Drosophila melanogaster: one gene and its partners. The protein of the gene in region 3 interacts with the protein of the main gene of each other region in a pairwise test. Each region holds a gene or a part of one and is shown on either strand. Other genes may lie near its edges. The genes, in order: EndoB, CG14478, CG2540 and CG14191.

Region 1 (9,599 bases), on a different chromosome or scaffold from region 3:
AGCAGGTGCTGCAGGTGCTCTGGACCAATCAGAACATCGCCCAGAAGGCAGTCATTCTAGTATCGAACAAGGCCGACCTGGCCAGGAGTCGACTGGTCACCTCTGAAGGTAAGCGACACGTTATAATGCTAATAAATATGTGGGAGGATTTCGGTTATCTTCCCCTCCCCCATTAACACTGGAAAGTGCGCTCGATTGGGTCTGTTACGAATAGATATACGAGTATATATAAACATAACGATATATAGTTCGAGTGTATAAACAGAACCGTCGTGCAGGGTCAGCTGAAGAGTTTGCCAAGCGGAAGTCATCCGGCGGTTCGCCTACCCAAACAGCCGGAATCTTAAGTGGAGGTGATTCCGCACCCCCCCCCCCCCTTGAAGGTCGACAGTTTCGGGGGTCCTTTTTGTCTACTCAAGTGCTTTCACTTGACTTTTATATCAGATTCCCTTTAAGACCAAGGTAACTCGGGCGCTTTCATCTAAGTAATTCAATATTTTCCGTTAAATTACGTTTGTTATTATGAAAGTAAGGGTGGGTGGTGACTGGAAGGGTTCCCCAGTTCTGCCAGTAAAATGGCAGTGGAGGGAAATTGTTTCAGCGCAAAATTGATTACATTTCGTCCCGTGTGGCATGTGTTCCGCTCAAGGCTTAAGGCCCATAAGCCTATTGTTGTAAACAGGGCGACAACAGGACCTACATTCGCCACCCACTACCCAACGCCCACATCCAACGCACAATCTTGAATTTGGGCGGAGAGTTCCTGTCCACCTAATGCGACGCCCTAATTTCATAAAGTATTTATAGAATTTTGTATGCCTCTGGCAATAATAAAATGAGCGCTTGGCCCAGAAATGTCTGGATAAAAGATATATTCATAAATCTATACATTGTCAAGCTGATTGGAAAAATATGAATAAAACCTAAGTGCGTCACAGGTGATTCTGCCACTCCACAGACTCTAAAAAACCTTTTGAAAATTTAATGTATTTTCCATTTCCACCTCATAACTTTTTGGCATACTAATGACGCACTAATTATTCAATTGGGGTAAATATTGCCCGATGTCGCAAAACTTTTGTTTACCTTTAATTAGGATCCTATTTCATCTGTAATCGAAAATCGGAAGGTTAAGAGCTTAAGTCTTTAAGCGCCCAGGAAAAGGCTGGTCTGCCTATCAAATAAATATATGTAACTTTCGTCACATTGTTAATAAAAATGTGAGGCTGTCATAAAATTTGCACCAGGAGGGTCACCATACGCATGGTGTACCGAACTTTGATGCTTCAGATTTTACGAGTTGTGTACACATCTGTGGACAAGACGTGACGGATGGGATGGGGATTCCCCGCATCATGTTTAGATACAAATCCCAGCCGAGGATGAGGTTTTACGACCAACTCCGAGTTAACTAAGCGAGACCATTCGATTTGATTAACTGGGATGATGGGCGGGCAACTAAGCTGGAATGTGATGCTTTTGGCCATAATTTTTACACATTTTCACTTAACCTCTCCATCGTGCCATTTTCATTACAGAGGGCAAGGCCATGGCCACCGCCTACGATTGTAAATTCATCGAGACGTCGGTGGGCATTAATCACAATGTGGACGAGCTGCTGGTGGGTCTGTTATCACAGATACGACTCAAGCTGGAGAATCCCGAAAAGTCCAGGTTCGTCGAGAGCTACTCAGAAGTAGTCTTTATTTTATTCACTTATGTTTATTATGTTTCTTGCCACAGGGATCTGTTCCGAAAGCGTTCGATTCGAAAGTCAAAGAGACGCGCCTGCTCGCCACTGAATGCCGGATGCCTGAATGCCAATACCCCTCTGGGTCCGCTGGGGGAGGCGGTGGCCACGCCCCCGGGCAGTGCCCAAAGCAGGTGAGTCATCGCCACGCCGACAGGCCATCAGAATCAGGCAGTAATGCTGATGCACCCTACTCTTTTGCAGTCCCCGCAAATACCGTGGATCAAGGACCTCCACCAGCCTGAAAGTCAAGGGACTTTTGGGCCGCGTGTGGACTCGGGACTCCAAGTCGAAGAGCTGCGAGAATCTGCATGTACTCTAAGCACAGAGATTATCCAAAGTGTAACCCACAAGTTTCCTATAGAGTATGCAAGATCCTAAGTTAAAGAAGAAACAGACTCGACTACTACCGGGGGTATTATTCCCAACTGTACATATTGTGTATAATTTTAGTCTTAATTTACGCTAGTCACTTCCTCCATTAATCATTGTATATAGTTTGTCTAAATATAAAACTATTATTTGTAATTGGTTTTTTATGCTCTTTCGTTTTCCTCTAAGCATGAGTTGGGATAATTTTGAATGCTCGTTGTAATACGGCGACTGGAATAAATTAGTTATATTTTTGATTGAAAGAAATCGTAATACAAAGGAATCCAAATAAAAAGCAATAATTTTTAAAATGAGAAAATAATATTTTACCCTTGTTCGTGGACGAATGAATACCAATTGTACTGATTTTTTGAAGATATGGCGCTTGTCCGCCGAATGAAACTTATTGTTAATTATATACGTGTAGTTATACATTTGTAATGGCATTGAATCTCGTTTTAAAATGGCATAAATATTCACATGAATGTTGATTGAATTAAAAGTTCATAATATAATTGATCGATTGCAAACCAGAAACTATATTAACCACATTGTGCAATTTTGCTTAAATAGACCTAGGGATTATTATGCCGTAATTGTTAAACAAAACCATTTTTTTAAACAAAGAAGCCCATCGTGCACCCACAATCCGCACGCCCTAGGTTTCTCAAGTTAGTCGGGACCATTTCAAAATTAATCAAAGATAGCAGAAATACGAAAGAAACACTAGATTTACACAAGGGCTACTTTTAGGTTCATGTCAGCGTAGTTTTACATTAATGCAATATGTGATTTTACACATGGTCCACTAAATCAAGAGCCTAAGCAAAACCATTTTGTTAACGTGTGCAATGCGACCTGCTGTATCAAATATTGAGGTCGGATCGAGAATTTGTAGATTTTTAACTATTAATGTGAACACTAGTAGTGTAGGGCAAATCACACAACTATTCCATAACAATCTAGATGTCCATTAAATGTATTATAAATGTCCATTAAGTATTATAATCACCAACAATTGCAGCACAATGGAATTTAACGGATTTGGAACATTCAAGGAAACCCCCAAATAATACGTGCATCCTAACATGTGTGTAAGATATCCGATCTATAACAGATAGTTAAAATATATACATATAGCTGTAATTGATTTTTGTCCAGAACTCTGTGTATTATTCTCGCTCAACATGAATGAATATGAATTCGAGCCGAAAACTATATAGGAAAGTGATAAAAGCACACTCGATTTTGCACAGATTGTCATATGATGTATAAGGAAAAGCGAAAGTCAGCCATAAATGTAAGAAGCAGCAGAGTGGTGAAAAGTTATCAATTGAATGCATGTTTTAATTTTTCCGCTCCGATAATATATGTCTAATGAGTGTGTATTAAATGTGAAAAGTTAAATTTAAATGTTTTCCAAATCGTGTTTTATTTTGGGGGTTTAATTACAAGGTGCACGGTCTGCAAGCAGGGTAAGTAAAAATTAGTTTAAATGTTGAAAAATGATTTTCATCCATATCATGATTAATTGACTATGTTATATTGTACAAACGTTCACATTTTTTAAAGCTTGCCATAGTAGCTTTCGTTACTATATAGATACTCACCACACTTGATTTACCGAAACTGTTAGCTTACATAGTATGTAGGTATGTATTTGCTAACAGACAGCTTAATTGTTATCTACTTTGATGTCGTGGCATTTGTTTAATAGAAGTAAATTTCGTTTCACCATTTACATGAAGAATAAAGAAGAAAAAGCTATGATAAATTAAAAATTAATACAATTTTACATTTTACTCAATAGTAGTATTTCCAATTAGAACTCTGTTCCAGTTGGAATTCTTCGGTATATTTGGTATATTCCTGGGAGAAACAATGGGTCACACTACGAAGTAGAGGAAATAAATACAAACAAATTGGGCTGTGTAGCGGAATTTAAATTTAAACTTTATCAACGGCAGTGTTAATTAGCGAACCTCTCGGCAAAAATGAATATAAATCTGCCGAATTTCAATGTGAAGAACCTGGTGAAGGAGGCGGGCAGCACAATATCACGAGTGGTGCAGGTGAACAAATCAATGAATTTGGGTGGCTGAAAAAAAAGCGGGTGGTGGTGAACTTTCGGTGGTTGGGCAAATGACAGATGTACCCCAAACCAATCTCAAGCACTTTCGTTGTTTCTTTGCCCTTTTCAACGGCTCTCCATTGTTTTCAATGACCTTTTCAGCTCACGGAGGAGAAACTGGGCACCACGGAGCGCACCGAGTACGACTTGCACTTCCAGAATCTCGCCGAGCGGGCTGATGTGACCAAGACATGGACGGAGAAGATAGTGCGCGACACAGAGTCGGTGCTGATACCCAATCCTCAGAACCGGGTCGAAGACTTCATCTTCGAGAAGATTGAAAAGTCGAAGCCAAAAAGGTTGAGCAACCTAGAGCACCTGGCTCTGGACATGATCGAGGCTGGGGGCGATTTCGGGCAGGATTTACCCTATGGTCAGGCTCTGATCAAGGTCGGCCAAGCGGAACAGAAACTGGGCCAGTGCGAGCACGACTTTATAGCCACCTCGGGCATTTGCTTTACACAGCCGTTGCGCAAGTTCCTAGACGGCGAAATGAAGACAATTGGCAAGGAGCGAGGCATCCTGGAGACCAAGCGCCTGGATCTGGACGCCTGCAAGAACAGGGTGAAGAAAGCGCGCAGCATGCTGGGTCAGCAATCGGTAAGTGGGTGGGATTTGATGGGGTTTCCTTATTGCAAGGGGGTATGATTGATTGGGTTTCGTAATGGCTTTTTCACTCACGGTCTTTTTCTGCCCTCTGCTGCCCGGAATTTTTAGAAAGATGGCATCTCGCCAGAGGCCGTCTTGGAACAGGTATCAAAACCTTGACCGAGCTCGTGCTCTAGATTTATGGCTAATCAATGAGCCAATTTCTAATTGCGATTTTTTCTAGGCGGAACGGGACTTGCGGGTGGCTCAGGCCGAGTTCGACCGGCAGGCGGAGATTACCAAGCTGCTGCTGGACGGGATCAGCACATCGCAGGCATCTCATTTGCGCCACTTGCACGCCTTCATCCAGACGCAAGTGCGCTACTACAAGCAGTGCGGCGATGTCATGGAGCAGCTGCAGCGTGAACTGGCCAAGTAAGTAGTAGGCGATCGATAGAGAATGACTGTGACTTCCACGTAGGCACCAAACGAATCTTTTCTTGCACACCAAAACACCATGTCCCATCCTTGATGAAACCCGTGGTCCCTTCTGGTGGTCTCACTGTGCGTTATGATATCTGCTTGTGGTCTTACAGAATGCAGCATCCCAAGCCACGCCTGCGTATCAATAGCGAAGACGTTGATTGTGGGCCTCCCAGCTCGGTGTCGATGCATTCTTGTGATTCCGATTCATTAGGGGGGATAGCCCTAGATAGCGATCCAGATCCCGATTTGGACAAGTCGCTTACGAATCTGCTCGAAGACTTTCACATAGAATTCGATACGACAGCCGTCTCCACAGTTTAGGGGTCTTGTTATTGTGATCTTCATATCGAATCGGATTCCATGCCCAGTTAACATTAGCATTTAATTTCAAATCATACGTACTAGATAGGTTGCTGTTATCGGTAGTTGTTGCACTTTGTAAAGTCAGGTTTCAGCAGCTCATCTCTCCATTTAGAGCTCGCTATCAAATCGAATCAAAAACTCATTAAACTCTGCATCTTCCATCAGCTTGGGAGGCCCCACGCCATACATTCCGCTCGACGTGAACGAGGCCAGTGCCAGCAAGTCCAACATATCGTCCGGAGCCGCAGCCCGTGGTCCTGGCAACAATCACTCTGCCAATATGGCTGCCACCGGCCACAAGCCTAATCAGCCCATGCACGTCAGCACGGATCAGATGCAGAGGGCACGCGTCCTTTGCTCCTACGACGCCAAGGATCACACCGAGCTTAATTTGAGCGCCAATGAGGTAAAGTAAAGAACAAATAATATCCTAAGCAATGCTTATATATAACTCATTTTTCAGGTGATCTTCGTGACGGAGTGCTCACCAGTAAACGAGGATTACATGTACGGAAAACAGGGTCTATTGAAGGGTCTGGTGCCACGCGCATTTGTTGAAATGCTCGACGAAGAGCACGATGTCACCCTCTAAGCCCTCCAGCAATTTGTTCAGCAATAATCAATCATTCAATAATCTCAAGCAAAATTAATGAACAAGAAAATACTCCAAGTACGGCAATACTCATATGTTAAGAAAGCAGACACGATCGAGAGAAGGGAACGGCAATTGGACAATTAAAGGATGCGGCCAAAGCGGCATTTGGCACTAGCAAGAGAGTACAATAATTTATTAGAATATACATACATAAATATATACAAGGCATAATATACATACATGAGCGTGTTGGTTAGTAAAAGCATTGTAGATTAGCCTTCGGTAATAATCAAACCCAGATCCATGCCCAAAGAGCTACGCTACTCCGTTGCACAGATCACGCTGTAATCAAATATGCATTCTGGCTGCCTGAAAAACCGTCAAGTTATACATGTAAATTTATGCAATTCCAAACATTATGATTGTTAAATCTAATCGCATATCTAAAGAGAAAGTGCTGTTTTATTAAGCTTCTCTACACTCGAAAAAGTATTATATATGTGTTATGTTTGTCAATATCTTAGTTAACAAGCGAAATTCTCTGTGCTTTACTATATATCCTATAATTATAAACGTAAGTATGAAATTGTTAATCCTATTATCTATATATTCAGCGAAGGCGTTTCCAATTATTATCTAATATATTTGCTGCAATTATTATGTTACCAAATTTTTCGTGCAATTTTTGAAAGTCAATTAAAAGAATATTGCTTGTTACATTTAAGGCAAAACTTTGAAACACCAAGGCGCTTGATAGCTAAAAAATAACAGATAAATATTGTTGAAAACGTACAATACAATAATTAAAAAGTAAACAACGATGATTTTTAGGTTTTCAGCAAACAAACAATGTTGTAATATGAAAAGCGAATTTTTAAACACCAACTATTATACTACATAATTACAAATATATGATCAAAATTAAAACAACAAAACCAAATTAAGTTCGATTTATTTTGTATTTCATTAGATTGCCCGTCCAGCTTTGAAAATCAGATCGAGATGGTAAGTGCTTTAAATTATATTTGTGAGCTTTTCTACGTAAAAGGAATAGAGGTGATTTGATTTCAAGAGTTCTATTATCTGAGTTCATTTATAGATGATCAAGTATTTGTTACTCATTTGTTCAATGATAGTGCATAATCACTTTAGAGAGATTTCGTATGTGAGAGCGAGGTGAACTTTAGACTTCAGCGATTATTATTTACAAGACTTTATTGGCATTCATACTAGGTTAACAATCAAGGGCTTAAAATTCGTATAAAAGTATATTGGTCTAGTTTTGATCCAAGATTCCAGTCGTAGTCACACCGCCATTTTCCAAAGTGGTCTTGGCGATGGTGGAAATCTTCTCATTGAGAGACCTATGATGACTGGATGTGGCAGCCTGTAGATTCTTAATCACTCGATCAGATGCCTGAATAGTGAGTGCCTTGGTCATGTTGAGCTCGTGTTGTGCAGTTGGCAGATTCAGATTGACTGCACGGGATGATCGCGATTGCGTCACAACCATTGCATAAATATCAATGGCTGCATTTGCCAGTCGTGTTAGCAAAATTTGTTCGTTAACTATGTTTTTGTTGTATCGCAGCAATAGTTCTTCCACCGATTGTCCAAAAAGATCAATACAATGGGCCGTTTTTTTGGCATAAGGCAAGAGTTCACCCACTACGTGGCCACTCAGATCGGTGCCGCCCAAGCCGACAGTGGAGGCCGCCCGCCTGGAGGCCTCTTTGAAAATCAGTCCCAAATTGGCCGAGGGATTCTTGAATGCGCGCTGCAGTTCCTTAAGGTGGGATCCCGCATATTGAATGCCAGTCAGGGCAATGAACAGCCGGAGAATGTCATTGGTGCCCTCGAATATGCGGAAAATGCGCAGGTCACGCAGGACTCGTTCCAATCCATTATCCACCATGTATCCCATGCCGCCCAGAATTTGTATAGCCTCGTCGCAAACATACCACGCGCTCTCCGAAGCATAGATCTTCGAGATGGCGGCTTCCAAGTGATAGTCCTTGCTGCCGGCATCCATGTTTTGTGAAATAGTAAACGCCATCGACTCCGTGGCGTACTGCAGAATGTTCATCTGAGCCAATTTCTCTTGGATGGATCCATAGTTCTTTAGTTTTTGACCAAACTGAACTCGATTGTTGGCATGCTCGGTGGCCTGTTCGATGCATTTCTTCATTGTTCCCGATAGCGTGGCGCCCATTCCAAACCGACCGTTGTTCAATATGTTCATGGCAACCTTGAATCCATCACCTTCCTTGCCGAGCACATTTTCAATTGGAATCTTTACATCTTCGAAATACACTTCGGCCGTGTTCGATGCCTTGATGCCCATTTTCTTCTCCGGTGGTCCATTGGTTACACCTCCGAAGGATCGTTCCACAATGAAGGCAGTGACCTTGTCCTTCTTCTCGCCAGTCTTCGGGTCCACCTGCTCGGTCTGTGCGAAAACGGTCATAATTTCGGCAATTCCGCCATTGGAAATCCAGATTTTTGAGCCATTAAGGACGTAGTGCTTTCCATCGGCACTCTTCACGGCACGGCATCGAATGGAACCCGCATCAGATCCGGAGCTGGGTTCCGTAAGGGCAAAGGCAGCGTACACCTGCTCGGCGGCCACCTTGGGCAGGTACTTCTCCTTCTGCTCGGGGGTGCCGTACAGCAGTATTCCCTTGAAGCCAATACTCTGATGGGCGCCAATCGTGATGCCCAGTCCCAGATCGTTGACACCCACAATGGCGCACAGCCTGCCGTACTGGGTATTGTTCAGACCGAGGCCACCGAATTCAGATGGCACTTGGATTCCGAAGGCCCCGAGCTCCCACAGAGCCGTCGAAGTGGTGTCATCTATTTTAGAGTTGGCATCGTTGCGGGCAGCGTCATTGACATCGGAGAAGAAACGCTCGAACGGATCTATCAGGCTGTTGGTCAGCTCCTTCTGCTCCGCGGTCAGGACATCCGGATACGGGAACACTTGGCTTGACACCAGTGATCCACGGAAGATGTTGGCCATAAAGGACTCATTCTCACTTGCCTTTTCCTTGCTGCGATTGCTTTCCGCCCCCAGTTTGGGACTGTGCGTCGCTATTTGCCTGCAAAGCGAGGCGTTTCCTGCCAGGTACCTGGTACTTTGGATCGTGTGCCTCCACATAGTTTCGAAATTGTTTGGTAAATCGCCCTTTGGACCGAGAGTCTGCAGTGTGCCCACATTCCCGATCACCCACGACGACGTCATCACCGCGACTTGCGCAGTCCAAATCTGGTATATTTCCTCAGAGCACCGAGTACCGGAGTATTCATCGTTT
Region 2 (8,646 bases), on a different chromosome or scaffold from region 3:
GTATATGCACAATTTTTCTACCCTATAATACACATACATATGTCATTAGCTAATCATGTTGCGTTGAAATTTGTAGGAATTAAGGTATTTAAATGTCATTGACTAAATGTTGCATATCTGCATTTCTGTCTCTGTTTCCTAGCTGTGTAATGGGTATACAGTAGTCGCGATTACTGTTCTTGCCTTCTCTATATATTAATGAATATATATTTTTTTTCTAGGTTTTGTGTTAAGTGCTGCTCATTGCTTGGTAAGAGGATATGATCTGTAAGTGAAGTTCGAAGTTACAATAATTCGTGCTTACGCGGTTAATTTAAAAACGAATATATAAATATGTGGATTTATGAAATACAGATACGTGAGGTTGGGGGCACGCAACATAAATGAGCCCGCTGCTGTCCACACAGTCATTAATGTCTTTGTGCACCATGACTTCATTGCATCGGAATACCGAAATGATATAGGACTGCTTCAACTGTCGGAGAGTATCGTCTACACAGGTATGTATGCAATTTAACCACCGTAGCCCCATTTCAATGCATTTCTTCGCAGTTCGAGTTCAACCAATTTGCATCTTTTTGGATCCGGCTCTCAAAGGGAGTGTTGAAAAATTGAAAACGTTCAGAGCCCTTGGCTGGGGAAATAGGAACGGAAAATTGAGCATAATGTTGCAAACCATCTATCTTCTACACTTGAAAAGAAATGAGTGCAAACGCAAATTGAACTTTAATCTCAATTCAAGACAGATTTGCGCTGGAACCAAAAATGGAGACACCTGTAGAGGCGATTCTGGGGGTCCCTTGTCCACGAATATATTGTTTCCTTCCAATAAAAGTTATGAGGTGCAGTTAGGAATCGTAAGCTTTGGGGATCCAGAATGCCGTGGAGTAGGAGTCTATACCGACGTGACCAGCTATGTGGATTGGATCTCATCGACAATAGCTAGAAATGACTACCTACCAATCGGCGTGTCCGGGGGAGACATTGCCATGGGCAATCCCATTGCTCCTGACGCTAATCGGCACTGGACTCCTGCGGCTTCACCACCACTTCCTTCGATGTTGTACAATAGCTGCAGTCAGGATATCGCGGCACCGATCGCGCAGCTAAGAATTTATTGGCCTGGTTCTTATGCCGTTGGCGTATTAATAACAGATCGTAAGTATACTCTTTCACTCGAGAATTCCACAATTAAATGAGTATAAATTTAACAAGATTGAGTTTCTTTTCTTAGAATTGATCATCGCTGCTGCCACAGACCTGCCCACAGTTGCCGCCTATTTGTAAGTTGTTCGAAGGATTATCCCTTGTGCATTAACTGCTATTTTTCACATTAGTTACTAGTTTATTTTGATACCATTTTAAATTAATTATTCAGATACGTGTTCGTAGTGCTCGAAGGAATAAGCGCAATCAACCAAATTGAATCGGTTTCAAAGCACCCAAATTTTACTACGAATGATTACCGAAATGACATAGCAGTACTCAAACTTGTTCGATCAATAAGCAGCACAGGTAGAACATACCTACTATCATAGCAATTGCCTCGATTTACAGTTATATTCTTTTACAGCAATGAAACCCATCTGCATTTTGACAACGCAAATATACCAGCAAAACGCCGAAAAGGCTCGAGAATTGAAAATAATTGATACAGATTTAGCTGAACAATTCGACGTCAGGCTAATGGAAGGGAGCCAATGCGCGAAACATCTCGGATTTCAAATCAACGAAAATCAAGTGTGCATGGTAGATCCATCCGACACAAGTAATCCCCGCCAGAAACGTAGCTACATAGTGGTTGGAGGGATGAATGCCAATGGCCAGATACGCTACATTTTGGTGGGCATTTTCAGTTTTTCATCGAAAAACATACTCGTTTTTACGAATGTTATGAGGCACACGGATTGGATTCTTTCCTTGCTATATTCGTTAAATACGTCATCTTAAAATATTTAAATGCCTTAAAAATGTAAAAGCACGTGTAAATACCAATTACTGACATACGAGTGATTGGTACATGTTTTAATAATAAAGTAACATACGCTAACGAATAAGAAATTGTCTTTGAGAAATCTAAAATATTTAATCATTTTTCGAAGTAATCATGCGCGTTCTGTACTACGAGTAGTGTTATCTTGGAGTCTGGCACCAGGAGCACCTCGTTGGTTCTTGTGCGTATTCTCAGCATTAGTAGTTCGTCCGTGGGATCTATTTTACTCATACCGCGTTCCAGTCTTCCTCGAATAGCCTGAAAAGGTCCCGAAAATTGGACAGCATCCTCTCGGTCCATCGTACTCATCACCGGATGTCCCGACTCGTTGAGGATCACTACATCTCGAACATGTTTTTTCGATTTGACCAGGTCGAATGCTTTTTCCACATATCGTAGAGTTCGAGGTGGCTATTTAATGATGTAACCTATAAATAAATATAATTACATTCAATATGGAAATATTTTACCTTTTGTGGAAGATCCGGAAACATATTTCTCGTCTGCTTTGAAACACCTTGAACTTCGTAGTAACGGTTTCGTGAATTTTTAACCTAATTTTTTTTGTTTTCTTGGTTTCCAAGGTGCGTGTTGCTATATGGGTCAATATGCCAGATTAAACAATTCTGTGTAGTTGTTATTAATGTATTGTTAGTAAATAATAAACTTATTAAATTATTCAATCACAAATATTTTGATAATTACCGTTGCAAATTTTTTTCTCATTGAAAACTTCATATCGATATTTTCTGTTAACTTATGTGGAAATCTGTTAAATTAACAATGAACAATGTGCCATCACTGACAGTGCATCTCTAATATTGAACAAACAAAGTTTACTATTTCATTGAACTGCAGGTAGCGGTAGTGTCTGCCGTGTTTCCAACAAAATTATAAGAAAAAATGGTAAGTAAGAGTTGTGCATACACAAAAACATTAAGAAAATAACGTTACCTTCATGGCTTACAGTCGCAGGAGGTTGAGGAAACACTCAAGAGAATCCAGAGCCACAAAGGTGTTGTGGGTACAATTGTGGTCAACAATGAAGGTGGGTGGTTCAACTGCACCCCAGTGTGTGCTAAGATATCTAACTAATTCTCAACGCCTCCCAAATAGGTATTCCGGTCAAATCCACGCTGGACAACACTACCACCGTTCAGTACGCTGGCCTAATGAGTCAGCTGGCGGACAAGGCACGAAGTGTGGTGAGGGACTTGGATCCTTCCAACGACATGACATTCCTGCGGGTGCGATCCAAGAAGCACGAGATCATGGTGGCACCCGACAAGGACTTCATCCTGATTGTCATCCAAAACCCAACCGACTAAATGGCATGGTGCATCGCGACTATTGCTGAATTATCTGCACATTTATATCTGTATTCTAATCATCAGCGTATAAATGGAAAGTTAAATTATAATGTAATGAAATTGTACTCCATACAATAAATATATTTATGCATAAAATGACATCACGTAAACATTTTGGGCTCTGTAAACTTCAGGTGTTTTCAGCTGTTAGTCCGCTATAACTATTGATAGGGGCATTCATTCTTTATTTTCAAAAACTGAAATATGCGTTCTCTAATTGAAACAAATGACTCCAAAAGATAAATTTATTTTAACGCTAATTCTAACACGAACAATTAATTATTATAATATTATTATAATTATTGAAGTTGTTTGATGTTTGGGTAGTTGGTTTAAGCATCCGCTTCACCGACGTATTTATCGAATACTTTCGAAGCGAGAGATATGTATTCTCTTGTTACCTTTGAAATTGTTTCCGTTGCTATTAGGTGAACATTTATGTTATGTTGGCAATTAAAGACTACCACGGCTTGTACATAATTGGAAAGATTACAATAATTACAACGGTGTGGTAATTATATCCTTTAAAAACCATATGCAGGGACAGAAGGTATCGAATATGTATAAAATAACTTCGATAGTAGCAAAGTCCCAGACTATCGATGTTTGGCCATCGTCGTTGCACGCCACGGTCACACTGATGCAAAGTCGAGGAAGACGGATTCGTGTGTCGGTGAAAACCCGTGAGTTTTGCGTACTTGCATTTAAAGAAAACCCCTCAACGGAATAGTCAATAAATTGATTGGAGAGCCCAATCAGCCACCGTTTCGACCCAGTGTACGCGTGTGCAGCGAGTTAAGAGATCCACCGATCGATCAAATCGTATTGAAAAAAGGTAATTCGAAAGATGGGCGTGCAGCGAAAAGCGAACGAGTAAAGAAAATGGCGTAATCACGCACTTCGAAACCCAAAAGGCAGCCAGCAAACGCAACGCAAACGGAATCCAAATCCACGAACCCTCAATCGGCCAGTCAGCATTACTTTGGGTGAAAAAACGAGCTATATGAACGTGAAAAAAGTGAATAAAAAACGTAAAAAAAATGTGCTGCAGCCATATTTGTTCCGTGAAAATGAAAACGATACACACACACACACGGGCAAAGTCGAGTGTATATAGTCGTCGGTGCATATATATCTGTCTATACATATGTGCTAAGAATTAACTAAATAAAATGAAGCACTTCGTATCGGATCGTCATCGCACCGTTTCGTTGTTCGCAATTTCATTTCATTTCCAACGCGATTCTCGTTCAACGTACGTTGGTACATAGCCTGCCGTACATACATACGTACTTATGTATGTACACATGTACTTTCAATATCGACGATGGCATCACAAAAACACGACGCGCACACAGACACGCACGCACGTACCGTACAAACAAACAGACGTGCGGACACAGAGCAGGGTCTGTATGTACGTACGTGTGTTTATATATGGGACTGGTTGTTGTTGTACATAACGGAGAGTTGAACACATAAGGGCTGGCTGGCTCAATATAGAAAGAAGCATGTGGCTGCGCTGTCAGCGTCGCTGCCTGCAGCGCGTAAGGGATTTTATTACGTCGGACGTTTCGGTCGTCGGTCGCTGGGTTCGTTTTATATTTTTGGATATTTTACACATGTCCATATGCCCGTCTATTCCCCTGCATCATCTGCATCCTCTCCCACATGCATCTCTCGTTCGCTCTCTTTTCGCGTGCGTTTATGAATGTGTGTGTGTGTGTGTGTGTGCGTGCGTGACTCCTTGAATGCAACGTAACGGGAAACGGGCGACTGCAGTCATCAAACGGGTGTAAGGGAGACGGTCGTAGCCCCCCGCAACGCATGGCTCCGCACTTGCGTTCATAAACACAGTGATCACCCACGAAAACGACCTCGTCGAACAGGACTCAAAAGTGCCAAGTGAAAATCATTACGAATTACGGAAAATATACCGAGTGAATCACCTTAACAGCGAAACTGCGTCCCAAACATGAACCAGTGCACTGAAGAAAAATATTGCTTATTACTATTAGTTTTATGATTAAGTGCTATATACGGTTGAATACTATACATTCTTATTGCATACTACGCTCTTTATAAAAAATATGTCAAAGCAAAGCTATTGAAAATCTTATATTGGTAGAAGTTGTTGAACTTTGCTGTGCTTGTTTTTTCATATTAATACTGTCATTGTGCATAAAATTCCGATATAAACCCTGTAGAACAAAGTAGATAACTATATAAAGGGCTAGGCTTTTCAATGTTTTCCCGCTTTGGAGGCCCTGTAATTTCCAACAGGTTCAATCCAAGTTAGGAACAGAATTTTTATTGTTTCGAAGATTTTCAACTGTCGATTTTGTATTTTACCACGTTTCGTGTTATCCACTCCCAATTGATATAATCATTAATTTGATGTGATTTTCTCTGAGTGCATATAAACAGTTGCCTGAACATGACTCAATTCCTTAAAATTTCATTAGTCAGCCGACTTAAAAGATCTCGTACCGAGTTCAGAGACTTATCAAGGGCGTATGATTAGATTGTACAAAAAAAAAAAAAACAGATACTTTTAGGCCTGCCAGCATTCCAAGGGCTTTGAAACACTGGCGACCAGCATCGTTTCGAGCTTGAATCTATAGTTTCCCCACCAAGTACAACCAGTTTTTTTTTCGTTTTGTTTCCCATTTTTTTTTTCTTCGGATTTTTTTTTTTTCTTCGGATTTTTTGGCCGAACACAAGGCCAAAGTTCACACAACACTAAACAAAGGTTCTCGAACCATTCGTTGTTGTATGAACAATGTGCCGTATCTTATCATGTGCGTTGGGAATTCGCAGAGCAGCAGCAGCACAGAACTATCAATCAGCCCGGCGCTTATTATCTATCTCTACAGCTTTTAAACTCACAACTTCCCTCTAATTGCGCAAAAGAATGCCGAGTGCGCAATCAGCTTGGAAAATGAGTGGAAAATGCTGTGCAAACGATCAAAGCCTGCAGCTGTTCTACGCAAATCGTAGAAAGTCGTATCCACATAATGATAATTAGAAAACTTGGCAAAACAGTTGATCAAACAATCTGATTGGTTTGGTCTTAAGTTTCAAATGGCTGCTACGTTTGACGCACACATACGGTTGTAATATATACTATGTAAAGATTAAAATAATGTTGATAGGTGAAAAAATCGTCAAGCTTATTTATTGACGGTCTCGATTGTAATTCTCGTCTATAAACTGAACACTTTGGCACGTTTTCACTTCTTCCTATGCAGATAAATGTACTGCAGGCAAGTTCTTGAAATCAGCTGCCCATTTTCTCATCAGCTGTTTCTTACTGAAGAATTCGCGTTTTGGGTGTGACAATGCAGTACTGTAGGATCGATTTTAAAGGCTAAGTTAAGCAACCATTTCTTGGGCGGATTCCTGCCATATTGGCTGCTTATTGGTAGGCCATCCCCCAGCATCTTGGCAAAAGCTGTTCGTTCTGACAGCAGCGCGTCGAAGGTCTCCTCCCGTTGAACTTTCGACCCGCTGACCAGGCCCCGGTGAAACTTTTGCCCCAGCTAGTCAGCAGTCAGCAGTTTCGAGGCACACAGCTGCAGCAGTTTCGATCGGAAAGCGACCGAGTTTGCTGCAGCAGCTACACAAAAGTACACAGTAGTCCTTCGGTTGACACAGCCACCCCGCACACATACAGACACACACACACACACACAGACACAACAGATATAGATATATGTATATGTATGCAGGCAGCAGCTTTCTTCCCTTAGGCGAATCGAAAACTCGATTTTCATCCCCGTGGCGAACAGAATTTAGTTTTAATTTCATTACAGACTACAGGCGAAGGGAAACAGTGGAAAACATGCGTATTAAAGTCGCTGTTTGCTCGGAGTAGGGAAAAATCTATTCCCTGGGAGTGAAATTTATATGCGCGATTAGATATAGGTGTGTTACATGGTGGGATTTCTGGACAGTGCCGGGAGTGTGCGGGGATTATGAATGGGGCATGTGCTGCGTGCGCGTGTCGGCATAGGAATCGTCATAGCCAGAGTCAGATGATAACACGGCAAATACATACAAGTACCCCAAGTTATACCATAAAGCTAATAATATAGTATGGGATGTGAAGTCGCAGCCTTATCGCTCTGCTGGTTCGAACAAAACCAAAACATAAATAGCGTCGAACCGAATTCTTAATACCCTGACACTGTTGTCTTTTCTAAATATGTTAAAATACCTAAAAAAAAAAATTGTAACATTTACATCAAGACTCTTGATACTCGTGAGTATGAAGAGAGAAGAAAGGATTCCGAATTTCCTTCATTAATGATGTAAAATCTAGTATACTCTGCGAGGGTACACAGCAAAATAACTAACACCAATACCAGTGGGAAACCTATTTTTGGATTGCCAATCGCTAAACAATTCTCTCTGCAGGATTTGCAACACCTGCTCTCTGTTTTCGGCATCTTTATCTCGCTTCTCCTTTTCAGCCGCTGCACTTTTGACCCTTCAACCACTTGTTTTCGCTCGAAAAGGAGCACACAAAAGAATGTTCTATATAGGTACCGGAAAAGACCTGCTGGCAAAAACCGAAAATTGCAAATTCTGAAGCTGAAGCAGAAGCAGAAGATTTCCAAAAAATGCCGAAAACAAAACTGCACATGTGTGTGTGCTCCCATTTTGGTTTCTTTTTTTTTTTTTAGTTTGTACTAAAGGCGGTTAGGGGTAAAAGAAAAAGGGACCTGAAATCCGAGCTCAACGAACATCTGTTCCAAAATATACTGTGTGTGTGCTGGTTGTTGATTTCACCAGGCGAAGAAAATATTGAATACATGAGTGCATTGTATATATCGCTTGAAAGATATATACAACTGGCACAAACACAGTCACATATCTACATACTTACATGCATACAATGCAAAGTGTGAAACAAGACTCTTTTTCACATACCTGCTTTTTATTTTATTCCAGGTAAATCGACGTCGACAACTGCGGAATACCTAAGAGCCAAAGCAGCGAAAGAATAAAGAAACAAGGAAACATTTGCACGCCAGCGGAGCAACTGCACCAGAGCACCACCAGCGACAAGAAAAACCACTTCAACAAAAGAGGATAACATACTGGAAGTGCTCCACTCGCATCGCACACACACACACACACACACACACACACACACACAAACAAACAAACACTCCTGCCCAGCAACATACACACACACATTCATACTGTACGTGCACGACGGTGGGAAAGTAAACCGACATCTTTTTACGACCGCCGAGAGTTTTGCAATCAGAAGAA
Region 3 (7,287 bases):
TTTAGCCTACTTCAAGGCGTTCTTCGTTGAATTTCCCTCGTTTTAATGGCACAAAAAAATCTCGGCTAACTCCTGTTTATCCCTGCGTTTGTGTGCATGTGTGTGTATGGCCAGCTGCCATGTGAGCGACTATTGCGCAGGCTTACGCTATTTCGCCCCCAAAAACGTTTTTCGCGTACACGCTGGATATCCTGCAACAACAACTACAGCAACTGCTTGGGCAAAAACAATGCAAAATGTTTTGCGCGCGCGGTCACATGACACGAGTTACACACACATACACACATACAAGTGAAAAATTTGTTGAGGCAGCGCAGGAGCAGCACACACACACACATACCAACACAGCGATTTTTTTCTTTTAAATTGTAGCTTTTCCTCTGGATTTACTTGGCGTAAACATCTGGAACAGATTTTCTTTTTGTTTCGAGATGTTTTGCAATTTTTTTTTATAGATTTTGGCTTAATGGTTGTGGGTTCTTTTTTAGGATTTAGGAAAAAATCAACGCGTGCGAACGCGTCGAATGCTCTACAGCGAAAAACTGAAACTGGTAGCGTTTCCGCGCAGTTTCCACGGCACGTGTTATACATACACGGAGGAGTACACACACACACACAATTCAAACACTCACACACACACAGAAACACACTGGCACGTCCTGAATATCCTGGTTATATGGTTATGCAAAGCACCAACGAGTCCGTATGGTTGTCGCTGGCTTTGATTTCGGATTGTTAGCCCAATGCGTTGGCAACCCTGACCGAGGTTTTCCCTTGCTTTAACCAGGAATCGATACTTGTTAGGAGGCGAAGCTCCCCAAATTGCCTTTTCTCTTTTCTTTTTTTTTTTTGAGAAAGCAAAGTAATAAATCCCACATGCGAGTACATACTAAAAAGTGTAATCTGCTAAAATGTAAATACTGGCATACTCTCACAATTCATAGGTCCTCTCGCTCTAACACACAAACACAATGGTCGTATGGAAATTTGCATGGTAATGGTAATAAGTTATGCGCCGTTATGCTTTATCCTTCTTGTGTGCGAGAGCCCATTATCAATAACTCAGCAAAGTAGGCAATAAAAAGGAGCTCCGAACGACATGGTCAGAGGGGGGGGGAGGTTGGCAACTCTTGCGTCATGTTGGTAATGTAAATGTAGTCCAATAAGAAACTTGTTGGCAAGAGAACAAAAACAAGAACAAGAACAATAAAGATAGAACATTGACTTTCGCTGCTCTGATAAGAATCTGCATGGGAAAGGGAGCAAGAGAGAGGGGGAGAGCTCAAATGATTCATCTGGAGCAGCAGCAAAAACCTAACGGTGATGTGATGGTTGATATTGAAAAGCAGCAAATGCAAACATGTTGTCATTCTAATTTGCATTTTACACACACACATGCAGAGAGAAACACATTGACAAGCAGGGGACATAACATCATCGCAGCAGCAGCAGAAACAAAAAACGAAAACAAAAACAACAGCAACAATAACACATTCCGCAACACAACCACCCACTAAATACCAACCAACCCCCCCGCAAACCGTTAAGCCCCGCCCACCTGTTTCATGGCGATTCACTCCGCTGTTGAACGTTTGTGGCGCTTGCCCAATCCAATTGGATTGGCGAACCGAATCAGATCAGATCGACACGGGGGCGATAAACAAAAAACACAACGCAATGTTTAAACAAAAAGCACGACAAAACAAACGACAATTTCTCAAAATGTTGTCTCAACTGTTAGAGCTGTGAAAACTTCGACGACTGGGCGCCATCGATGAACGGCAAGCTTGGGCATTATCGATATCAATCTTATCGATATTTTCTAGCAGTGAGACCAAAGCAGCACAGCTATATTCTACACGTTCGCTATTTAGGGTATTCCCCGTAAAATTAAATTAAATCTAGAAACTTTTAATTAAAATCCTTTAAGTTACTTGCCTAATTAGATTCATATATAACGTGCCATTGTATTGAAAAATGGTTAATTTACACCGGTGGAAATAAAATAAATATTGGAATTGATTCGAAAAGCTGATAAACGCTATATTGAGTACTATCTGAATGCCGTGATTCCTGAATTATAAATTTAAAGATTAGATATTAATGTTACTATCAACATAGATTTATACGTTCTATCCGGCCTAGAGCGTGCTCTCTATATTTTATGATTTTTATAACTACTATATATTTAATAATTCAATGTTTAATGATACCACAAATCACAAGACAATTCACTTTAAATAAAATCACACAAATGTTTGTTTTAAATTTATATTTAAAATATGTTTTCATATATAATAATGAATAAATAATAATGTTCATGACAGGAAATCACAATCGTAATTGTGATTCGTCAGAAGCCTCTATAACACGTCGTTGCAATTGGTCTATTTGGAATGGTGCATCTAAAAAGAAATATCCCAAGCTTCTTGGTATTTACAATAAACAGTAGTCTTCTATTGCAAAATGTTGTGGTGTCACGACTTGTTTTTAGCTTGCAGTGCAGCGTAGATCAACCACTCGCGGCCGCCAGGTTTCTGACATCGCTCCAAAAGCTTCTCCAGCTGGTGTGCCTGCTCCGCTAGCTGTTCCTCCTCCAGAATACCGGAAATCTCATGCAACAGCGCATGGCGTATTAACTGGGGCTCATCCTCGACAATGTAACGCTTAACGCAAGCAACCAGTTCTTCGAGATGCTCGTCTACAGCTCCCGGAAAGAGCTGATCCATGGCGGCGGCCAGGTTGAATAGGTATTCGCGATTGGGGCCACTGGGACCGGCCGAGCTGAAGATTTGCCTCGCAATACAGGGAACTTGCCACACATCACCAGCATAGGAATCGTTCGCCTGCGTGGCCACGTACATGATCACTTGGATGGGTTCTGCACCGTCAGTCGGATACTCGTGGAACTCCAAGCTGCAGCGCTCATACCCGTTCTTCTCCCGGTAATCCAGATGGTCCAACACAGCACCCTTTTGACTAGCAGCTATGCGATAGGCGACGCCATAGACACGATCCTGGGCGGGATCGCCTGGCAGCAGGGTGACCACGCGACCAGGACGTTCGGGAATACCCCGGTGATCGATGCTGTGCTGGTAGAAGCGACGCTTGAATCCCCAAACGAAGCCGCGTCGTCGGTCTATGTACGGGAAGTCCGTCTTCCATACCAACGACCCATAGCCAAAGATCCAGACATCCGCATCCGTGGCCGCCGGCGGCTCCAATTGATTGCTATTTTCGGTATCGAAAGTGCGTAGCATGGAGAATCCTTGTGTAAAATCCTGATCCGCTGACTTGCATCCATGTTCCCTGGGCTCCTCGATAACGTTCGCGAAGAACTCGGTGTATATGTTGCCGGGCAGCTGATCCGCCCTAGAACCACTGCTTCGCAGCTCCGTCAGGAAGTCCAACATCACCGGTGCTTCGTTAGCCAAAAAATTGTGAAAATTTTCAATTTCCTTTGGCAGCTTATCGTCTAAAGTTATCGACATCAGCTGTTCGATTCCCACAGGGCTGCCACGTAGCCTTGAGTTTTATATATATATTTTTAAATATTTATTACAAATATTAGATTTTATAGTTAAATATGTATTTTTATGTAATTGAACAATCATTTTATTTATGTAATAAACTAAAATGTTCATATGGTATGTTGTTAATATGTATATTTATATTTTTCGTTTTCCGTTACTTTTTTATGTTGCAACAATATAGCCTGGCCACCCTGCGCTCAGTTAAGGGAACAGCTGTTTGCCGCATTATCCATCCCGCTCACACTCGCGTCGCTGAACGAAGGAATAAACAAACCGATTTTGAATCGGAATTACCAGATAAATAACACCCCGGAAACCACACAACCCCCATCAAAATGTCCGGCAAGGACGATCGATCCAAGGAGTACGTGCAACGTAACCACTCACCTCGCAGTTAGCACCTAATAATAACAACCCATCCTTTACAGAAAGCGCAGGAACATGAAGCAGTACAATCATCACCATAAAAAGGATCAAGGGCGCTCCACCACATCGTCGGGATCGCCACCACCCACCTCCCGTCGCAGCATGGTTGATGTGGCGGACTCGAGCGATGAGCCAAGGTTGGCCAGGCGTGGCAATTGGCAGTCCAGTGGAGCAGGCCGCTCATCGTTGGCACCGCAACGGAACAGGGACATGCTGGACACCCTGCCCAGCGACACCGACGATGTGGAGCAATTGGGCCTGGATGGTGCACCCATCGATGAGAATGCCCGTGCCCAGTTACGAGCTGGCGATTTCCAGCAGCTGGCCCAGTTTCCCAGCCTCGGTGGCGGCCACTTCACCTTTGGGTCAGAGCGCGAATGGGCCAACGTGGCCGAGGGCCAGACCAAGCTACACACCAAGGCTGCCAGTGCTTACTTCACCCTGAACCTCACCCGCCTAAATGTGGGTCTGCAAACGATTCCGTTATACAAGCGTATGGATTATCCGGCGTCTTTGTTCACCCGCGCTCAGATTGCCGCCCAAGAGAAGGCCGCCGAACGGGCTGAGGCAGTTTACCAGCAGTGCATTCTGAAGGACGCCAATGGGGGCGCCAAGTCGCGAGCTCCCTCTGCTAAGTCCAATAAGGACGTTGCCCCTGCAGCGGCGGAAAAACCAATTGCTGCCTCAGCAGCTGAACCTGATGAACTTGACGAGCTATTGGCCATGACCGATACGCAACTGGATATAGGCTCTGGAACCATTACGATGCCAATGCCTATGGTGCAGCCGGCCACACCCTCATCGGCAGCAAGCAAAAACGGTGTGGAGGAATGGCTGGATTCCGTTTTGGATGAATAGTTACATAGTTCAGGAGGACTATTACCAGAGCTTTTTACGCTTACACGAAATATTCAAATCACTAAGTGCTTGCATTTTTAGAAGTAGCATCATTAAAATTGCAAAATCTAGAGTTTTCCTCGTAACTTTATAGTTAAAGCTAGAGCCTTTTTATTGTGTATAATAAAATCGTTGATTGCATATATATACGATGCGATTGTTTCTTGAAATAAGTTTCAAAGGTTAGGTTAAGTTATTGAAGATTTCAATTCTCTTCTCATCAAAGTATCTGAATTTATAACAGATTTCTTTGTTTCCGTTCGCTATTACTTACATTGTGGTCCACTTTTGCCTTGGTAACACTTAACCAAATGGCCATGCAAGAGCTGCATAAGCTCACATATGGACTCCAAAAGCACCAGGCGCTCATGCAGATGCCCCAAATCGTTGTTCTCCACCATCAGCGGACGCAGCTCATCAACGATCGCGATTAGCCAGCGAACTAATATCGAACAATCGTCCCTGGCCAGTTTCATATAATCCTCCGGCACATCGGTCTCCTGGCACAGTTGCTGGCCCTGGGCATTGAATGGTCCGATCAGCAGGATGCTGGATATCAAACGGACCACCAGGTGCAGGGAATGCAAATAGGATATTACATAAATATGCGGCTTCACCACGGCAACGACGAGCAGCAGTGTGTTAGCCGGACGCAATCGGTGCAAGTCCAGGCCCAAGTCCGACATATGATCCAACATGGCCCAGAGCAGACAGTTAGCCACAACGCTGGCCATTGTGCACAGCGGACTGGCCACGCGGCAGCCGAGGATCAGGTTGAGCATTGTGCTCGAACTCTGGATATCCAAGAGACCCAGGACATGGACGCATACCTGGTGGATCTGTTGGGCAAAGAAAGGGAAGGATCAAAAAATATATATTTCAAACATATATATGCTTACTCACATGGCTTTCCTCGGAGCATGCCATATAATTGAAGCACTTTTGCAGGAAAAGAGTTCTTTTCACCTGGGTGGCCGACGTGTCCTCATGATGGAGTAGATAAACCATCAAACCGCATACATACACCGCAGCCAGTTTATCTGCTCCGAATTGGATCCCCTCCTGGTTGAGCAGTTCATCAAAACCAGATATAATCTAACGGAACATGTGAATAAATTAGATAATGTGATTATGATATGAATATGGATCACCTCCAGAATATTGCCGGTGGCATAAATAAAGTAGCATTGTTCCCGAATCGCCGATCGACTCATAGTCTGACGCAGCTCTTCCAAACTGAATCCCTGGGGTCGCACCATGTGGCTCATGTTGTATTCTGCCATTTTATCTGAGGAAAAAGCTGGAAAAAGGGAGTTATGCATTACTTTTGAACAGGGAAAAGGCGCCTTCAAGGATTTGCTGCTGCTTCACCTTCTCCTCCTCCTTCTACAAATTAGTGACTGAAAGATATGATGTGTGCAAATAGCCAACGCTATTTTAATGAGCTCCACAACATTTTGACATGTTTTTCAAACACACTTGGCTGCCATCTTGGCCAAGCCGAGTACAGTGAAATCAGCAAGTGGGTACTTTTAATTGAAAAGTCTAGGAATTAACTATGAAGCTTTTGATTTGAATTCATGAACCTTGAACCTATGTACATCTTCCATGATTTAAAATTAATTTTTTGTAATAATATATTAAAATATTATAATTATATAGTTATGTTCATTTTTAGACAAAATACACTTTTGTGTTGAACTTCTAGTTGAATCGCATAAAATTGAAGGACTTAGAGGAGTCGCTGCTATCGGACGCTTACTGTAGTTATGATTTTTCCTGCCTGTGTGTGTGCCCGCCTTTGTTTGTGTGTATTTGTGCTTGTCCTTGCACTGCTTTCGAAAAGGCTGGCAAAATGCAAATGCACGCGCGATGTGCGCATTTTAGCATAAAAGTCACCTGGCCTCCGTTTCCGACTCCCACTTTTCCACCTGCCACGCCCATCGCCGCTTCAAGTTTCTTGCACACTTGGCGAATATCTGCTCATTATGCATTCATATTTCATATTTCGCAATTACTTGCTTTCACACACACACACACGCACGCAAACGAACTGGCGGTAAAAAGCGCAAGAGGTGCAAGCAAGATGGCCATAACAGCAGGAAACCGTTAAGTTTCTGTGTGTGTGTGTGTGTTTGTGCGTCCTTTGCTTGGTCTTTTCTTTCTGCTCTTCTGCTTTTTTATCGCCCCCTTTATTTTTTTGGGGCATTTTTTGCACAGATTCCTATTGAAATTTCCATATTCACATTTTAATTATGCGTCGGCATGAAAAGATTAACAACTTTTTTGCAATCTCTCTGTGTGTGTGTGTGTGTGTGTTATGCTCTCCTTTTTGTTTTTAATTATGCACATGTATTTGTTGATCAAATTTAAATGGCAAAGGGGTAGGCAACATATAACCCTCTCTTTCTGAACTGCTTGCAAACATAAC
Region 4 (7,072 bases), 6.5 Mb from region 3:
GCTTTGCAAAGTTTAAAAGCAGAGGAATATTTACAAGAATAAGTTCAGATAAACAGTTAATCTTAGGATTCAATTTAGTTTCCTTCAACTTTCATTGGAAAGTAGAGTACACAATTTTTAGCAATTTCAGAACCTATTAAATGGACTTTAAATCTGAATTTTGTATTACGTTACAGCCTTTTTGTCAATCCATTGTTGGGCGCCTCATAATTTTTTCACGATTCTTTGATGTTTATTGGTATCTTTTAATTAGACTTATGGCTGGTGGGTGAGAAAAGGGAAATAGTTGCACAATTAAGTAAACTTCCTTCGTTGCGGATATAATAAGGGTTTTCCGCCATAGTTTCCTTCGCTTCATGCCGACTTTCTCTACTTCTCTTTCTTATTTACAGCGCAATCAAATTTAACTGTTTAAACAAGCGATGAAAAGATTCTGCTTTTCACCAACACACACACACACACACACATTCACACATATGCGACGGGTGGTGCAGTCATTGTCATTGCCACGAAAGTGGGTGCTGCTTGGTGGGTGGGTGTTGAAAATGCAAAACAATTTCAGGCGAATTAGCGTAATTGTCTCGCCGCTGCTGTTGCTTCGGCTTCTGCTTCTTCTGAGACAAAAGGGCCAAGGAGAAAGGAGAAAGTGGATAGGATAGAGGGGGGAGAAGAGAAAGGAGGAACAGCAGCAGGACTCAAGCTACTTAATCCTCTAATTTGTGTGACTGTGTGTGTGAGCCGCGCCCCTTTTTCTGGGCTTTCTCTAGCCCGGGCGAAGCAAAGTTTGCCCTCATTTATATGCAAAAATGTAAACCAAAAAATCAGCGAGAATGTTAAATCCAACAAAATGCATTTAACACATAAAAATTTGCATAGAAAGTGCCTTCGGTAAGCGCCCCGCCTTACCCCCAACCTCTAACCGTCACCACGATTTCCCCATCCAGAAAACCCCATTCCATTCCTACGAGTTCTGTTTTCGCATACCGCACTATCTAAGTGCGAGCAGCAGAACAATTGAAGTTAATTTTATTTTTATTTTTATTTCCGGCACCCGCTACTTGAGTATTATTATACTAAGCCTTAGAGTGTGTGTGGCTGCCACGCCCCAATTTAAGTAGTTGTTTCGGCTAACATCCGCTTAAAATGCGCCCTTCTATGCGCTTCTCATTGTGTTCACGTTATAGATACAAGCCCTTTAATTTGCTAAGTTCCATTTGTTATAACATATGATATATTAAACTTCAACTACATTCTTTGAATTCAGCTTACCTTATATTTAAACTCGTCCTTCTATGCGCTTCTCAATTTTTTCGCCTTATAGATACAATCCACTAATTTTAGTAATAACCGTATATGGTATCTTAAACGTAAACTATTTCGTCTTTAATCTCCGCTTAATATACGCTCTTCTATGCGCTTTTCAAAGCATTTACGTCCTGGGTCCACTCCGTTGAATTTGCTATATCCTATTTCTAGGAACCGCTGGTATCTCAAACTTCAACTACCTAAACTCGGTTGCTGTTAAAGTGCGCTCTCCTTAAGATTTCAACTTGTTGGACACTTTTTAACGTTTCACTTTCGGAATGGTAATCTTTGCCCATCCCGATACTCATACCCCATTCTCTGCCATTTTATATCTGTCCGTTTCTTATTATGTATTTGTAACCAATTGGTTGCCAAAACCCCCCGCTCTGCATTCACGCTCAGTCAATTTTTTGTTGCCACTGCCGCTGCTGCTGCTGCTCGTGTGTCCTTTGTGTTGTTGCTGTTATTGCATGTGTTGAGATTCTCATGGAAATTTGCATACAAATTGCGTCTGGCGCGTAGGAAGCCCTACCATTTGGTGGGCGGTGGCGGGCTATATGTACCATGAACACTGACTGGAGGACGGGGACAGATGGCCCGACATGCGTATGGGGTTAACGAAGGGTTAACACAACACAAAAAACCAAAGCCCGAATGAAAAAACACAAATATAAAACATTGCCAACAACGGCAGCACCTGACAACTGTCAAATTCTGTGGGTTACCATCGATAAATAAAATGGGGGACAATTTTATGACGACGGGACGAGGTCATAGAAAACTTTGACAGATTCAATGGGATGTATGTTGTTATAGTTTTAAAAGCACCTACAAACGGCAAACTTTTAATGCCTCTAATTGCTTGCCGAACGCAGCTTTAACGATGTAAAAGGGCACTTTTGTTTAGGAACACAAACATCAAAGTAACCCAGCACGTCAACTTTAGAATTGAGCATACGTACGTACTACTATTGAAATCATTAGATTTTATGAATCGCATTGCTTAAAATACGGATAAAAACTGAGTCAAACGGATCACGATGGGCGATGGACACAAAATCGAGGACATCATCTGGACAATCAAGAACGGCGTGTACGACGAGGTGGAGCGAATTTTCCTAGCCGGATCGCTTAATGTGAACGATCAGATGGGCGTCCGGTTCCCCTTGCACTACGCCGCCGACTTTGGCCAGCTGAAGCTGCTGGAGTTCTTTGTGCGGATCGGCGCGGAGGTGGACAGGAAGGACAAGTACGGCATCACACCGCTCCTGGCGGCCATATGGGAGGGGCATACACGCTGCGTCGAGTTCCTGCTCCGGATGGGAGCCAGCCGCACGGAGCGCACGCCCGAGGGGCAGAGCTACGCGGAGGCCGCCGAGCAGGAGGACATTAGACGGCTCCTGGCGCGGGACTGAGGTCCTTGGGGATGTCCTCGTAACTCCTGACAGGGCATCATATATGGGAGATCCACCTATTGTACATTTTGCAAATTTTTAGTGTAACCTTTTGATAGGTTCATTTGCTAGCTGACTGATTGTAAGCGATGCATCAGCAGCTCTTACAATCTTGAAAACGAATTTTCTTGGAATTACAAGGTGGATTTATATCGAGAATCTCTATATCGGATTATTACTAAAAAAGAAACATTAGTTTCTGTTTTGATAGTGGAAATGGCTCTTCTATACCGCACTGTTTTATTGGTTAATGTTGGGAAGTATTTACAATTAAGGTCAGTGAGAAACAGTAACAAGTTAGTATCCGTTGACCAACGGAGAGCATTTACCAACTGCTCTGGGCCCAACCGCCCTGAGGAGCCCAACCGCCGGCGGAGTAGCTGGAGGCACCGCCGGAGGAGTATCCACCACCGTGACCACCGCCGTAGCCGCCGCCATACCCGCCGCTCGATCCGGCGTCGGAGATGACCTTGATGATCTTGACGTTGCCACCGCTTCCGTAGCCACCACCGCCGTATCCACCGCCGGATGACCAACCGCCTCCGTGGCCGCCACTGTAACCACCGGAGGAGCCGCCTCCGTAGCCACCTCCATAGCCACCTCCATGGCCACCCCCGTAGCCACCTCCGTAGCCACCACCACCAGCTCCGGAATCGGTGATCACCTTGATGATCTTAATCGTGCTGCCGCCTCCGTGGCCACCGCCGCCGTAGCCACCACCGCCGTAGCCACCACCGCCGTAGCCACCACCTCCTCCATGGCCACCACTGTATCCGCCGCTATATCCTCCTCCTCCTCCGCCGGATGACCAGCCGGAGCTGAGGGCACTACCTCCTGCGCCGCCGCCGCCCAGGAAACCCGCATGGGCCATACTGCACACCGCCAGCAAGCAGACGAAAACCTGCAAGAGATTGGCAGGAAACGCGTTAGTTGAACTCACAAAAGGGTACACATAAAAAAATATTCGAAGAATGGGTTTCACTTTCTGTGAAAGTGTTAATCCGCGATTGGCGCACCTTCATGTTGGCGTGTTTGAGAGTATTGATTGCTTCGGAAGAACTGCGACTGTGTCGGACTGGAAGGGCGATCTTCGACTGTGGTCTGCAGCGTTTTGGCCGCCGCTTTTATGGCCAGCGACTCGGATGCTCGGTAACCAGCTTGGCTCACTTAACCCTGCCCTGCCCCAACAGCTGCGGCGCACAGTGGGTCGAGTCGCGTCCAAACCGGACAGCAAGGCATGGTTACTCACTAATTAATCCATCTCTTGGCGGAGCAAGATATACTTAAGATGTATTCAGCGCAATGAAACAACTCCAATAAAAATCACTAAAGTAATCACTTTAATCGAAAAGTCAAGGAGGTAAATACATACTTTAACATACATTTTTGACGAATATTACCGACTGGTATGCCTTTTGAAATTGTATATTTACAACTTTATATAGTAGTTGATAGTACTACTTTTAATCTCGCGATCATGTTTTATTGATTTTATGGTAATTTAAGACTTCAATTTCCCCCCGTATCTGAGCTTATATACAATAACTTTGTATAATATTTGTTTCCTATTGTTTTTAGTTTTTCACATCGTACACTAAAGGGAAATAAAGTATAATAATTATTAAATTGGCATTTCCCATATATGCCTTTGAGTGATTTCCCCACAATACGGAGAAATAATGTCACTGTGTGGAGTCTGCTCGTGTTTGACACACTAATTGCCGGTCCACGCGATGGTCCGTTTTGAGTTGCGGCATCATCATTACCATGACCATTACCATTACCATCACCAGCGTTGTCCAGTTGTCTGCATGAGGGCAACGGCCCTGACCCCACCCCATCCCCATAACCTCCACGACGCCATTCCATGCACACAGCATCCGATCTCCACCCGCGGCACTGAGCTCTAAGCTCTGCTGCTCCAAGCAGCAGCAAGTTACAAGCCCCACGCTGCGGGCTAATTTATGTCGCGGACTGTACTGTATGTTGCAATCCAGGCAGCCCGGAGCTGTCAAGTGGGCTAACTTGCATCGCCAGGTCGGTTGGAGGAAACCCTTGGCGAAGACGAAGGCACTGCACTTGCCGGGCCAAAAACCTTTCGATGGCGCATTTTCAGCTCGTTATGCAATTCATCGAAATCGACACAAAGTTGCAAAAATAATAAACAATAGCTGCCAGCAACATGATCCAATAAACAGGTAGCGATCGCACCATCATCTAGTGGTGGATATCAAATGGGCGGTGTACCTGGGCATTTTAATAACCAGGTACTTTACTTTAATAGAAATGATCACGCTTAATTATGCTATGTCGCAATATTATTACGAATTCGATGCAAAAAGTGTACTTTTTTTGTTTTTATTGTTATTAGTACCTGGAATTCAATTGCCAGATGGCTGGTGTACCTGTGTGTATTATTATAGTCAGATTCGTCCCAACTTTAAGCACATATAATTATTAGTTTCGTACGACTTTTAATCAATTTTTTTTTGTGTTGTTCCCCAGTTCCAGTTCTTGCACCCTAAGTGGACAAATCAATCTGTGTTTTTGAAGCCACATTTATGTTGAGTAACTTTGCCATCTCTGTACCCAAAACAATTTCGATCTTGATTAATCCGGCCAACGCGATCGCAGCTCCATTAACTTTTGGCCCGCAGTGGCGATGGGTCAAGCAGAATGCTATTAATTGCCGCTCCACCAACTCGATTCGGTTGCAGCAAAAGCTGGTGCTGAAGTTGAAGTTAAAGCCAACCTTCACTTCTCGATCTGATAGATGAGCCATACATTTCCCGCTGATTGTCGGTGATTTCATATTCGGCTGGAATGACTATAATGGCCAACGGCGGCACGATGCTCGAATTATCAAGGAAAACCAATCTAAGGAACATTTTTCTAAGAGGCCAGCACTCGCAGCACTTAAAGATATTCTTATTGCTAAAATGCTAAAAGTGGTGATTTAGCATATTAATCTTTTATTAAAGCTGGAGCATAGCATAGAAATCACGTTGGATAGCAAAGGCTTTTTGTTGAAAACATTTAATGTGGCTTTGCAGAAAACAATTACCGATAATGCATTTCAGTTAGCACAGTCGGAAGACATTTATTTTTGATGAACATTTCACTATCCGTATTTTATTATGATTTATGGCCACGCCTGAGTTATTGCCAATAACAATTAGTGATTATTTAACGGGGTCGGATATGTTTTATGCGCAATAAGTGCTTATTTTTACGCGTATTTATGGATACTCCATGTAACGCAGTTTCGGGGAGCTTAGAAATAATCATTATGTAACCCACACGATGGCCATTAAACTCAATTATATTTGACATTTGGAATATACATATCTATCTAGCTGGGAAATCGAATGCAAGTCGAATCATAATTATGCATGATATTAAATGTATACAATCTTAATTAGTCACCATCTCCACCTGAGTATCCATTAATTAAGACATAAAATATGCCCACAAAAAATCGCAGCTCACGAACGTGTGAATATAGACAAAATACGAAGAACCGAAAGACTTAAGTCCATTTTCGGCCCATAGAAAACTAGTTACGGCACCATCAAATACTCGTAAAAACAAATTTAATGATGGAAATTCAAAACAAACCCAAGACGCATCCGCAATTATTTATTTCGATGGGGAATTACTTGTATCTCACAGCTTGTCCAGAATAGACATAATTACGAGACGATAATGGATTCATTGCCTTTGCGATGCTGAAGCTTGCCACGACTTGACCTTGAGCTTAACCCACTGTGAGCCGGCGGTACTGAAATTACATATTTTCCAATCACCTATGGAAAGTTTCCAAAATCATAAAAATATGATATCGTAATCGCAAATATGAAAAATATGTCATATAATCTGATAGATACCACTGATGAGGGGATTGTGCTCGGCGAGAAATGCAAGGTAATTTCATACCGTTTTGTGATATAATATGCCATTTCTATTGTTGCGGTTGCTACTTCAATAATTATATGGCAAACTGGTTATAAGTACAATAATTTCTGTAATTGCAAACAAAACACAAATGTGGCCAAATGGGTTAAGTGGAAAGCGAAACTGGCCAACAAAGATGCTCTCAAAAACCCCCGATCATGAGTAATCAACTCTTGGGACTTCCCAAATCGATGGACAAAGAATCAGGCAGTACTGGTTATCTTTTTCATTTTCTGTGTATTTCTTTAAAAATTAGCAAAAAAAATTAATGGTTTCTAAGCGCACACACAAAACGCGTGCGCTGTCCTAAACTAACTTCGAGCATCGAAAAAGGCCAATATCGCCGCACAACTCCGACA

Evidence for each region.
Region 1: the proteins of CG2540 (region 3) and EndoB interact in a two-hybrid assay, tested with the Drosophila melanogaster proteins (one large-scale study listed by BioGRID).
Region 2: the proteins of CG2540 (region 3) and CG14478 interact in a two-hybrid assay, tested with the Drosophila melanogaster proteins (one large-scale study listed by BioGRID).
Region 4: the proteins of CG2540 (region 3) and CG14191 interact in a two-hybrid assay, tested with the Drosophila melanogaster proteins (one large-scale study listed by BioGRID).

What each region holds. Positions count from the first base shown.
Region 1 is NT_033778.4:19,305,070-19,314,668, reverse strand, and holds EndoB (endophilin B), read left to right. Parts: upstream 1-4,003; 5' UTR 4,004-4,116; coding exon 4,117-4,194; intron 4,195-4,355; coding exon 4,356-4,853; intron 4,854-4,970; coding exon 4,971-5,006; intron 5,007-5,085; coding exon 5,086-5,276; intron 5,277-5,437; coding exon of another isoform or gene 5,438-5,642; intron 5,643-5,855; coding exon 5,856-6,096; intron 6,097-6,153; coding exon 6,154-6,282; 3' UTR 6,283-7,222; downstream 7,223-9,599. Other genes in the region: Rgk1 (Rad, Gem/Kir family member 1), read left to right, coding at 1-108, 1,539-1,674, 1,744-1,884, 1,955-2,072; Acadvl (Acyl-CoA dehydrogenase very long chain), read right to left, coding at 7,562-9,445.
Region 2 is NT_033778.4:17,453,675-17,462,320, forward strand, and holds the start of CG14478 (uncharacterized protein), read left to right. Parts: upstream 1-3,988; 5' UTR 3,989-4,198; intron 4,199-5,141; exon of another isoform or gene 5,142-5,405; intron 5,406-6,923; exon of another isoform or gene 6,924-6,992; intron 6,993-8,319; 5' UTR 8,320-8,646. Other genes in the region: CG10764 (uncharacterized protein), read left to right, coding at 222-267, 355-500, 553-1,158, 1,235-1,283, 1,379-1,515, 1,574-1,950; robls54B (roadblock similar 54B), read right to left, coding at 2,090-2,404, 2,464-2,487; robl (roadblock), read left to right, coding at 2,897-2,899, 2,963-3,041, 3,110-3,321.
Region 3 is NC_004354.4:12,626,085-12,633,371, reverse strand, and holds CG2540 (uncharacterized protein), read right to left. Parts: upstream 3,495-7,287; 5' UTR 3,414-3,494; coding exon 2,478-3,413; 3' UTR 2,261-2,477; downstream 1-2,260. Other genes in the region: Aven (apoptosis and caspase activation inhibitor), read left to right, coding at 3,869-3,897, 3,962-4,817; CG15728 (uncharacterized protein), read right to left, coding at 5,123-5,695, 5,760-5,951, 6,008-6,139.
Region 4 is NC_004354.4:19,078,453-19,085,524, reverse strand, and holds CG14191 (uncharacterized protein), read right to left. Parts: upstream 3,861-7,072; 5' UTR 3,782-3,860; coding exon 3,776-3,781; intron 3,661-3,775; coding exon 3,085-3,660; 3' UTR 2,959-3,084; downstream 1-2,958. Other genes in the region: CG7423 (uncharacterized protein), read left to right, coding at 2,346-2,720.